2 linked regions of the Saccharomyces cerevisiae S288C genome follow. The protein of the gene in region 1 binds, or shares a complex with, the protein of each later gene. Each region holds a gene or a part of one and is shown in the gene's direction. Other genes may lie near its edges.

Evidence for each region.
Region 2: the proteins of COX1 (region 1) and COX8 are in contact, whole or in part, in a cryo-EM structure (PDB 6T0B), measured with the Saccharomyces cerevisiae proteins. Residues at the interface, in NP_009305.1 of Saccharomyces cerevisiae: Met1 (codon at 2,061), Gln3 (codon at 2,067), Arg4 (codon at 2,070), Trp5, Val16 (codon at 2,106), Leu17 (codon at 2,109), Met20 (codon at 2,118), Ile23 (codon at 2,127), Phe24 (codon at 2,130), Met27 (codon at 2,139), Ala28 (codon at 2,142), Ala31 (codon at 2,151), Met32 (codon at 2,154), Leu34 (codon at 2,160), Ile35 (codon at 2,163), Leu48 (codon at 2,202), His49 (codon at 2,205), Asn51 (codon at 2,211), Leu54 (codon at 2,220), Leu58 (codon at 4,680), Thr117, Leu118, Val119, Glu120, Ser121, Gly122, Leu401, Gly402, Leu403, Phe466; in NP_013499.1 of Saccharomyces cerevisiae: Val28 (codon at 1,947), His29 (codon at 1,950), Phe30 (codon at 1,953), Lys31 (codon at 1,956), Asp32 (codon at 1,959), Gly33 (codon at 1,962), Val34 (codon at 1,965), Tyr35 (codon at 1,968), Glu36 (codon at 1,971), Asn37 (codon at 1,974), Ile38 (codon at 1,977), Pro39 (codon at 1,980), Phe40 (codon at 1,983), Val42 (codon at 1,989), Lys43 (codon at 1,992), Tyr49 (codon at 2,010), Ala50 (codon at 2,013), His53 (codon at 2,022), Phe54 (codon at 2,025), Phe56 (codon at 2,031), Phe57 (codon at 2,034), Ile59 (codon at 2,040), Gly60 (codon at 2,043), Phe61 (codon at 2,046), Val63 (codon at 2,052), Pro64 (codon at 2,055), Phe65 (codon at 2,058), Ala67 (codon at 2,064), Cys68 (codon at 2,067), Val70 (codon at 2,073).

The regions. Positions count from the first base shown.
Region 1 is NC_001224.1:11,758-16,867, forward strand, and holds the start of COX1 (cytochrome c oxidase subunit 1), read left to right. Parts: upstream 1-2,060; coding exon 2,061-2,229; coding exon of another isoform or gene 2,230-4,565; intron 4,566-4,677; coding exon 4,678-4,713; coding exon of another isoform or gene 4,714-5,110. Other genes in the region: intron-encoded reverse transcriptase aI2, read left to right, coding at 2,061-2,229, 4,678-5,110; AI5_ALPHA (intron-encoded DNA endonuclease aI5 alpha), read left to right, coding at 2,061-2,229, 4,678-4,713; intron-encoded DNA endonuclease aI4, read left to right, coding at 2,061-2,229, 4,678-4,713; intron-encoded DNA endonuclease aI3, read left to right, coding at 2,061-2,229, 4,678-4,713; intron-encoded reverse transcriptase aI1, read left to right, coding at 2,061-4,565. UniProt on the Saccharomyces cerevisiae protein: Component of the cytochrome c oxidase, the last enzyme in the mitochondrial electron transport chain which drives oxidative phosphorylation.
Region 2 is NC_001144.5:908,886-911,830, reverse strand, and holds COX8 (cytochrome c oxidase subunit VIII), read left to right. Parts: upstream 1-1,865; coding exon 1,866-2,102; downstream 2,103-2,945. Other genes in the region: tethering complex ATP-binding subunit VPS33, read left to right, coding at 1-1,596; SUMO ligase CST9, read right to left, coding at 2,433-2,945. UniProt on the Saccharomyces cerevisiae protein: Component of the cytochrome c oxidase, the last enzyme in the mitochondrial electron transport chain which drives oxidative phosphorylation.

The DNA.
Region 1 (5,110 bases):
TTATATGATATATAAAGTATTCACTCTATATGAGGTTATGATTATTATATAAATCTTATTTTATTTTTATTTTTATTTGGACTAATAATAATTATAATAATAATTATTGATATGTTCTAATATTAATAAATACATATTTATATTATAATATAAATATTCATTTCTTACTAATTAATAAAAAGTTTTTATATTCATTATAATATAAATATATAAATATATATAAATATTTTAATAATTATAATTATATTAAGATATTATAAATATATATTTATTTTTTTTTATAAAATAAATAAATAAATAAATAATTAATATTTTTATATTATAACTTATTTTTATAATAATAATAAGTATTTTATTTTTTATTATATTATTATTTATATAATTATATATATATTAATTTCAATTTAATTAATTAATTAATTGGTATTTGGCATATAATATCAATTAATTGTAATTCTTATAAGAATTAATTAATTAATATGCTTTTTATATAATTTATACTTTTATATTTCTCCTTCCGGGGTTCCGGCTCCCGTGGCCGGGCCCCGGAACTATTATTATTATTTTTATTTATTTATTATTAAAATATAATAATAAATAGTCCGGCCCGCCCCGCGGGGCGGACGCCGGAGGAGAATTATATTTTTATATAATAATTTATATTTCTATATATATATATATATATTATATATAAATATTATTATATATATTTTTATATATATTATAATTATATTCATTAATATTTTATTATAGTGGTGGGGTCCCAATTATTATTTTCAATAATAATTTATCATGGGACCCGGATATCTTCTTGTTTTTATTTATTATTTTATTAAATTTATTTTAATTATTTATTTATAATTTATATTATACAATTTATTATTTCGTTAATACCTTTATTTATATTATATAATATATTATATTATTATAATATATTTATTGATTATATTAATACATTTAACTAATGTGTGCTCTATATTTATTGAATAGTTTGGTTCTTATCACCCACCCCCTCCCCCTATTACGTCTCCGAGGTCCCGGTTTCGTAAGAAACCGGGACTTATATATTTAATACTAAAAATATAACTACATTACTTTTTTAATATATATAACAATATATATATATATATATATTAATTATATAAAATATAATACTCTATATTAAATATTATTTTTATCAATATTTATTTATATATATAATAATAATAATAATAATCAATATTAATTATTTATATATATAAGATTAATATTATTTAATATATTATGAATAATTTAATTAATAAATCTTTAAATATTATCATAAAAATATAAATTAAATAATTTCTTATTTATAATAAAGAATAATAATATATATAAATATAATAAAGAATGTAAATAATATATATATAATATAATATAATATAAAAAATATATATATATATAAATATATATATAATATATAGATAATAATATTTTTATATAATTTATTTTATTATTAAGTAATAAATAATAAAAAAATCAATATATTAAATAATATATTTATATTAGTTCGGTTTAGTTGGTATTTTGTAATGAGTAAAAAGTAATATATAATATTAAATAATAAGTATTGATATAAGTAATAGATATAATAATAATATTATTAATATTTTATATAAATAATATTAATAATATAGATTATGAAAGAGAGTATTAATATCATTAAATATATATATATGTTATATAATTTAAATGATTTTAATATATATATATATATTATATTATAGATTATGATACATTTATATAAATAATATATATATAAAAATTAATTATACTATTACTTTATAATATAATAATATTTATTTATAAAGATATAAAAGAATTGTTTAAAGTTATAACTAAAATATTATATAGTATTCATTAATAATTAATATTATAAATTCAACTATTGTTATATTTATAAATAGAATAATATATTATTATCCTTTAAGATATAACAATAATTATTTAAATTAAATTAAATTAAATTTAATTAATTTTTTTTTTTAATGAATATAATAATAATAATATTATTAAAATTAATATATAAAAAAAAAGTAAAAATGGTACAAAGATGATTATATTCAACAAATGCAAAAGATATTGCAGTATTATATTTTATGTTAGCTATTTTTAGTGGTATGGCAGGAACAGCAATGTCTTTAATCATTAGATTAGAATTAGCTGCACCTGGTTCACAATATTTACATGGTAATTCACAATTATTTAATGGTGCGCCTCTCAGTGCGTATATTTCGTTGATGCGTCTAGCATTAGTATTATGAATCATCAATAGATACTTAAAACATATGACTAACTCAGTAGGGGCTAACTTTACGGGGACAATAGCATGTCATAAAACACCTATGATTAGTGTAGGTGGAGTTAAGTGTTACATGGTTAGGTTAACGAACTTCTTACAAGTCTTTATCAGGATTACAATTTCCTCTTATCATTTGGATATAGTAAAACAAGTTTGATTATTTTACGTTGAGGTAATCAGATTATGATTCATTGTTTTAGATAGCACAGGCAGTGTGAAAAAGATGAAGGACCTAAATAACACAAAAGGAAATACGAAAAGTGAGGGATCAACTGAAAGAGGAAACTCTGGAGTTGACAGAGGTATAGTAGTACCGAATACTCAAATAAAAATGAGATTTTTAAATCAAGTTAGATACTATTCAGTAAATAATAATTTAAAAATAGGGAAGGATACCAATATTGAGTTATCAAAAGATACAAGTACTTCGGACTTGTTAGAATTTGAGAAATTAGTAATAGATAATATAAATGAGGAAAATATAAATAATAATTTATTAAGTATTATAAAAAACGTAGATATATTAATATTAGCATATAATAGAATTAAGAGTAAACCTGGTAATATAACTCCAGGTACAACATTAGAAACATTAGATGGTATAAATATAATATATTTAAATAAATTATCAAATGAATTAGGAACAGGTAAATTCAAATTTAAACCCATGAGAATAGTTAATATTCCTAAACCTAAAGGTGGTATAAGACCTTTAAGTGTAGGTAATCCAAGAGATAAAATTGTACAAGAAGTTATAAGAATAATTTTAGATACAATTTTTGATAAAAAGATATCAACACATTCACATGGTTTTAGAAAGAATATAAGTTGTCAAACAGCAATTTGAGAAGTTAGAAATATATTTGGTGGAAGTAATTGATTTATTGAAGTAGACTTAAAAAAATGTTTTGATACAATTTCTCATGATTTAATTATTAAAGAATTAAAAAGATATATTTCAGATAAAGGTTTTATTGATTTAGTATATAAATTATTAAGAGCTGGTTATATTGATGAGAAAGGAACTTATCATAAACCTATATTAGGTTTACCTCAAGGATCATTAATTAGTCCTATCTTATGTAATATTGTAATAACATTGGTAGATAATTGATTAGAAGATTATATTAATTTATATAATAAAGGTAAAGTTAAAAAACAACATCCTACATATAAAAAATTATCAAGAATAATTGCAAAAGCTAAAATATTTTCGACAAGATTAAAATTACATAAAGAAAGAGCTAAAGGCCCACTATTTATTTATAATGATCCTAATTTCAAGAGAATAAAATACGTTAGATATGCAGATGATATTTTAATTGGGGTATTAGGTTCAAAAAATGATTGTAAAATAATCAAAAGAGATTTAAACAATTTTTTAAATTCATTAGGTTTAACTATAAATGAAGAAAAAACTTTAATTACTTGTGCAACTGAACTACCAGCAAGATTTTTAGGTTATAATATTTCAATTACACCTTTAAAAAGAATACCTACAGTTACTAAACTAATTAGAGGTAAACTTATTAGAAGTAGAAATACAACTAGACCTATTATTAATGCACCAATTAGAGATATTATCAATAAATTAGCTACTAATGGATATTGTAAGCATAATAAAAATGGTAGAATAGGAGTGCCTACAAGAGTAGGTAGATGACTATATGAAGAACCTAGAACAATTATTAATAATTATAAAGCGTTAGGTAGAGGTATCTTAAATTATTATAAATTAGCTACTAATTATAAAAGATTAAGAGAAAGAATCTATTACGTATTATATTATTCATGTGTATTAACTTTAGCTAGTAAATATAGATTAAAAACAATAAGTAAAACTATTAAAAAATTTGGTTATAATTTAAATATTATTGAAAATGATAAATTAATTGCCAATTTTCCAAGAAATACTTTTGATAATATCAAAAAAATTGAAAATCATGGTATATTTATATATATATCAGAAGCTAAAGTAACTGATCCTTTTGAATATATCGATTCAATTAAATATATATTACCTACAGCTAAAGCTAATTTTAATAAACCTTGTAGTATTTGTAATTCAACTATTGATGTAGAAATACATCATGTTAAACAATTACATAGAGGTATATTAAAAGCACTTAAAGATTATATTCTAGGTAGAATAATTACCATAAACAGAAAACAAATTCCATTATGTAAACAATGTCATATTAAAACACATAAAAATAAATTTAAAAATATAGGACCTGGTATATAAAATCTATTATTAATGATACTCAATATGGAAAGCCGTATGATGGGAAACTATCACGTACGGTTTGGGAAAGGCTCTTTAACACGTGGCAACATAGGTTAATTTGCTATTTCATTTTTAGTAGTTGGTCATGCTGTATTAATGATTTTCTGTGCGCCGTTTCGCTTAATTTATCACTGTATTGAAGTGTTAATTGATAAACATATCTCTGTTTATTCAATTAATGAAAACTTTACCGTATCATTTTGGTTCTGATTATTAGTAGTAACATACATAGTATTTAGATACGTAAACCATATGGCTTACCCAGTTGGGGCCAACTCAACGGGGACAATAGCATGCCATAAAAGCGCTGGAGTAAAACAGCCAGCGCAAGGTAAGAACTGTCCGATGGCTAGGTTAACGAATTCCTGTAAAGAATGTTTAGGGTTCTCATTAACTCCTTCCCACTTGGGGATTGTGATTCATGCTTATGTATTGGAAGAAGAGGTACACGAGTTAACCAAAAATGAATCATTAGCTTTAAGTAAAAGTTGACATTTGGAGGG
Region 2 (2,945 bases), on another chromosome or scaffold:
TATACCCTTTACCCTTGGGATCTCTTGCCCTTCCCACAGATTGATGAAAATGTTCTATTGACTCATTCCCTTTATAACATGGAAAATGTAAACATGTATTATCCCAACTTACGTTCTTTGCAGAGTGCCACAGAGTCAATACTGGTTGATGATATGGTCAATTCGTTGCAGAGCTTGATTTTTGAAACTAATAGTATCATAACAAATGTTGTGTCGATAGGTAATCTGTCTAAGAGATGTAGCCATCTTTTGAAGAAACGAATCGATGAGCATCAAACAGAGAATGATTTATTCATCAAGGGTACGCTTTATGGTGAACGAACCAACTGTGGACTAGAAATGGACTTGATTATCTTGGAAAGGAATACCGATCCTATAACGCCATTGTTGACACAACTTACGTATGCAGGAATACTAGATGATCTATATGAATTCAATTCTGGCATAAAGATAAAGGAGAAAGACATGAACTTCAATTATAAGGAAGATAAAATATGGAATGATTTGAAATTTTTAAATTTTGGGTCGATTGGGCCGCAGTTAAATAAATTGGCAAAGGAACTACAAACGCAATATGATACAAGGCATAAAGCCGAGAGCGTACATGAAATCAAAGAATTCGTTGATTCCTTAGGTTCTTTGCAACAAAGGCAAGCTTTTTTGAAAAATCACACAACCTTATCATCCGACGTTTTGAAAGTGGTAGAGACTGAAGAGTACGGATCTTTCAATAAAATCTTAGAGTTAGAGCTGGAAATTTTGATGGGAAATACACTTAATAACGACATTGAAGATATTATACTCGAGTTGCAGTACCAGTACGAGGTTGATCAAAAGAAGATTCTCAGATTAATCTGTTTATTGTCTCTTTGTAAAAATTCACTTCGAGAAAAGGATTATGAATATCTAAGAACCTTTATGATCGACTCTTGGGGCATTGAAAAATGCTTTCAACTTGAATCATTGGCTGAGTTAGGATTTTTCACTAGCAAAACGGGAAAAACTGATTTGCATATTACAACAAGTAAGTCAACAAGATTACAGAAAGAATACCGTTATATTTCACAATGGTTCAATACAGTACCCATAGAAGACGAGCATGCTGCCGATAAAATCACAAATGAGAACGATGACTTCTCGGAAGCCACTTTTGCTTACAGTGGTGTAGTGCCCTTGACAATGAGACTGGTTCAGATGTTATATGATAGGTCTATCTTGTTCCATAATTATTCCTCGCAGCAGCCTTTTATACTGTCAAGAGAACCTAGAGTTTCTCAAACGGAGGATTTAATTGAACAGTTATATGGAGACTCACATGCGATCGAAGAGAGTATATGGGTCCCGGGAACCATTACAAAAAAGATCAATGCAAGCATCAAGAGCAATAATAGACGGTCCATAGACGGATCTAATGGGACATTTCATGCTGCAGAGGATATTGCACTCGTAGTATTCCTCGGAGGTGTAACAATGGGTGAAATAGCTATAATGAAGCATTTGCAAAAAATACTAGGTAAAAAAGGTATCAATAAAAGGTTTATCATCATCGCCGATGGCTTGATCAATGGCACAAGGATCATGAACTCTATATCTTAATTATTATATGATAGATTTGTTAATTTTTTGTATATGCAAATGTGCTTTTTTTCACCAAACGGTTTGCACCAATCATACGAGAGAAGTGTTCGGTGTTTACGGAAAAGCTAGGGGACTAAGAAAAATTGAAAATAAAGGCTGACAGCAGTAGAAACCATTGTGCTGGCTTAGTGATTTATAAGAATGGTTAATTAGTTTTGTATCCTTTAATTTTCTAGATAGAGCCACAGAGCAAACTAAACAGAAAAGTTATCCATTTCCATTACGCAATGTTGTGCCAACAGATGATTAGAACGACAGCTAAGAGAAGTAGCAATATCATGACCAGACCTATTATCATGAAGAGGTCAGTACACTTCAAAGACGGTGTGTATGAAAATATCCCATTCAAAGTCAAAGGAAGAAAGACACCTTACGCCTTATCTCATTTCGGGTTCTTCGCTATTGGATTTGCTGTTCCATTTGTTGCCTGCTATGTTCAATTGAAAAAGTCAGGTGCTTTTTAAAACACCCCCATAAGTTTGAAGGATAGATGTGTGTACATAGCGTGCTTGGTTGAGACGTTTTAGAGTGTGTTCTTTGCTATTCCTAGGTGCGCATATCATCGTTTTATTTATTTGTACAATTTTCTTTTCATATATTCATAATCCTCTCCTTGTGCCTTCGTATTGAGACGGCGGGAAAGAAGGATCTAAGAAGAACATAATTCGACAAATTTCTTCTAAAATAATACCATATATAGTAACACATAAGAAAATAGAATAACTTTTATAATACAGTAACATACTCTATCTATTCTGAAGGCTGTTTTCGTCACGGGGAATCCTTACACCTATTTACCTAATCCTTCTAAACTTATTGTTTTTCTTGCTACTACCCAACACAGTATTACTTGAGCGAGGTGGCAGATGATTATCACTCTTCAAATGTGTATTAGTCAGTTGCTGAGTTGAATTGGACCGCTTTAGTATATTTGATTTCGGCAGTTTACTTTGTTGCAATGAGTTCGATGAAGATGAAAAGGCAAGACCACTGCTTCTTACGTGTGAGCTCAAGTTGTGTGTTATTCTATTCGAACCGCTGATAGTATTATTTCTCTTCCTTGTTATTTTTAATTTTTCTAAAGCTGAGGGAAACTGCGTCGAGGTACTTGTTAAAGGTGTATTTGAATGATGCAATTCTTTGAGGTTACTATTTGGTAAAATAAGCCTATTTGATGATGAAGATAGAGGCGAAGAGGGTTGGAGAGAAGCTGAAGATAATCTTGATATATTTTTGGAAGATACAGAGCCATTATTCGTGAGGATGTCAAGATTTGGCAACTTTCCATCGAAGCCTTTTGCAACACG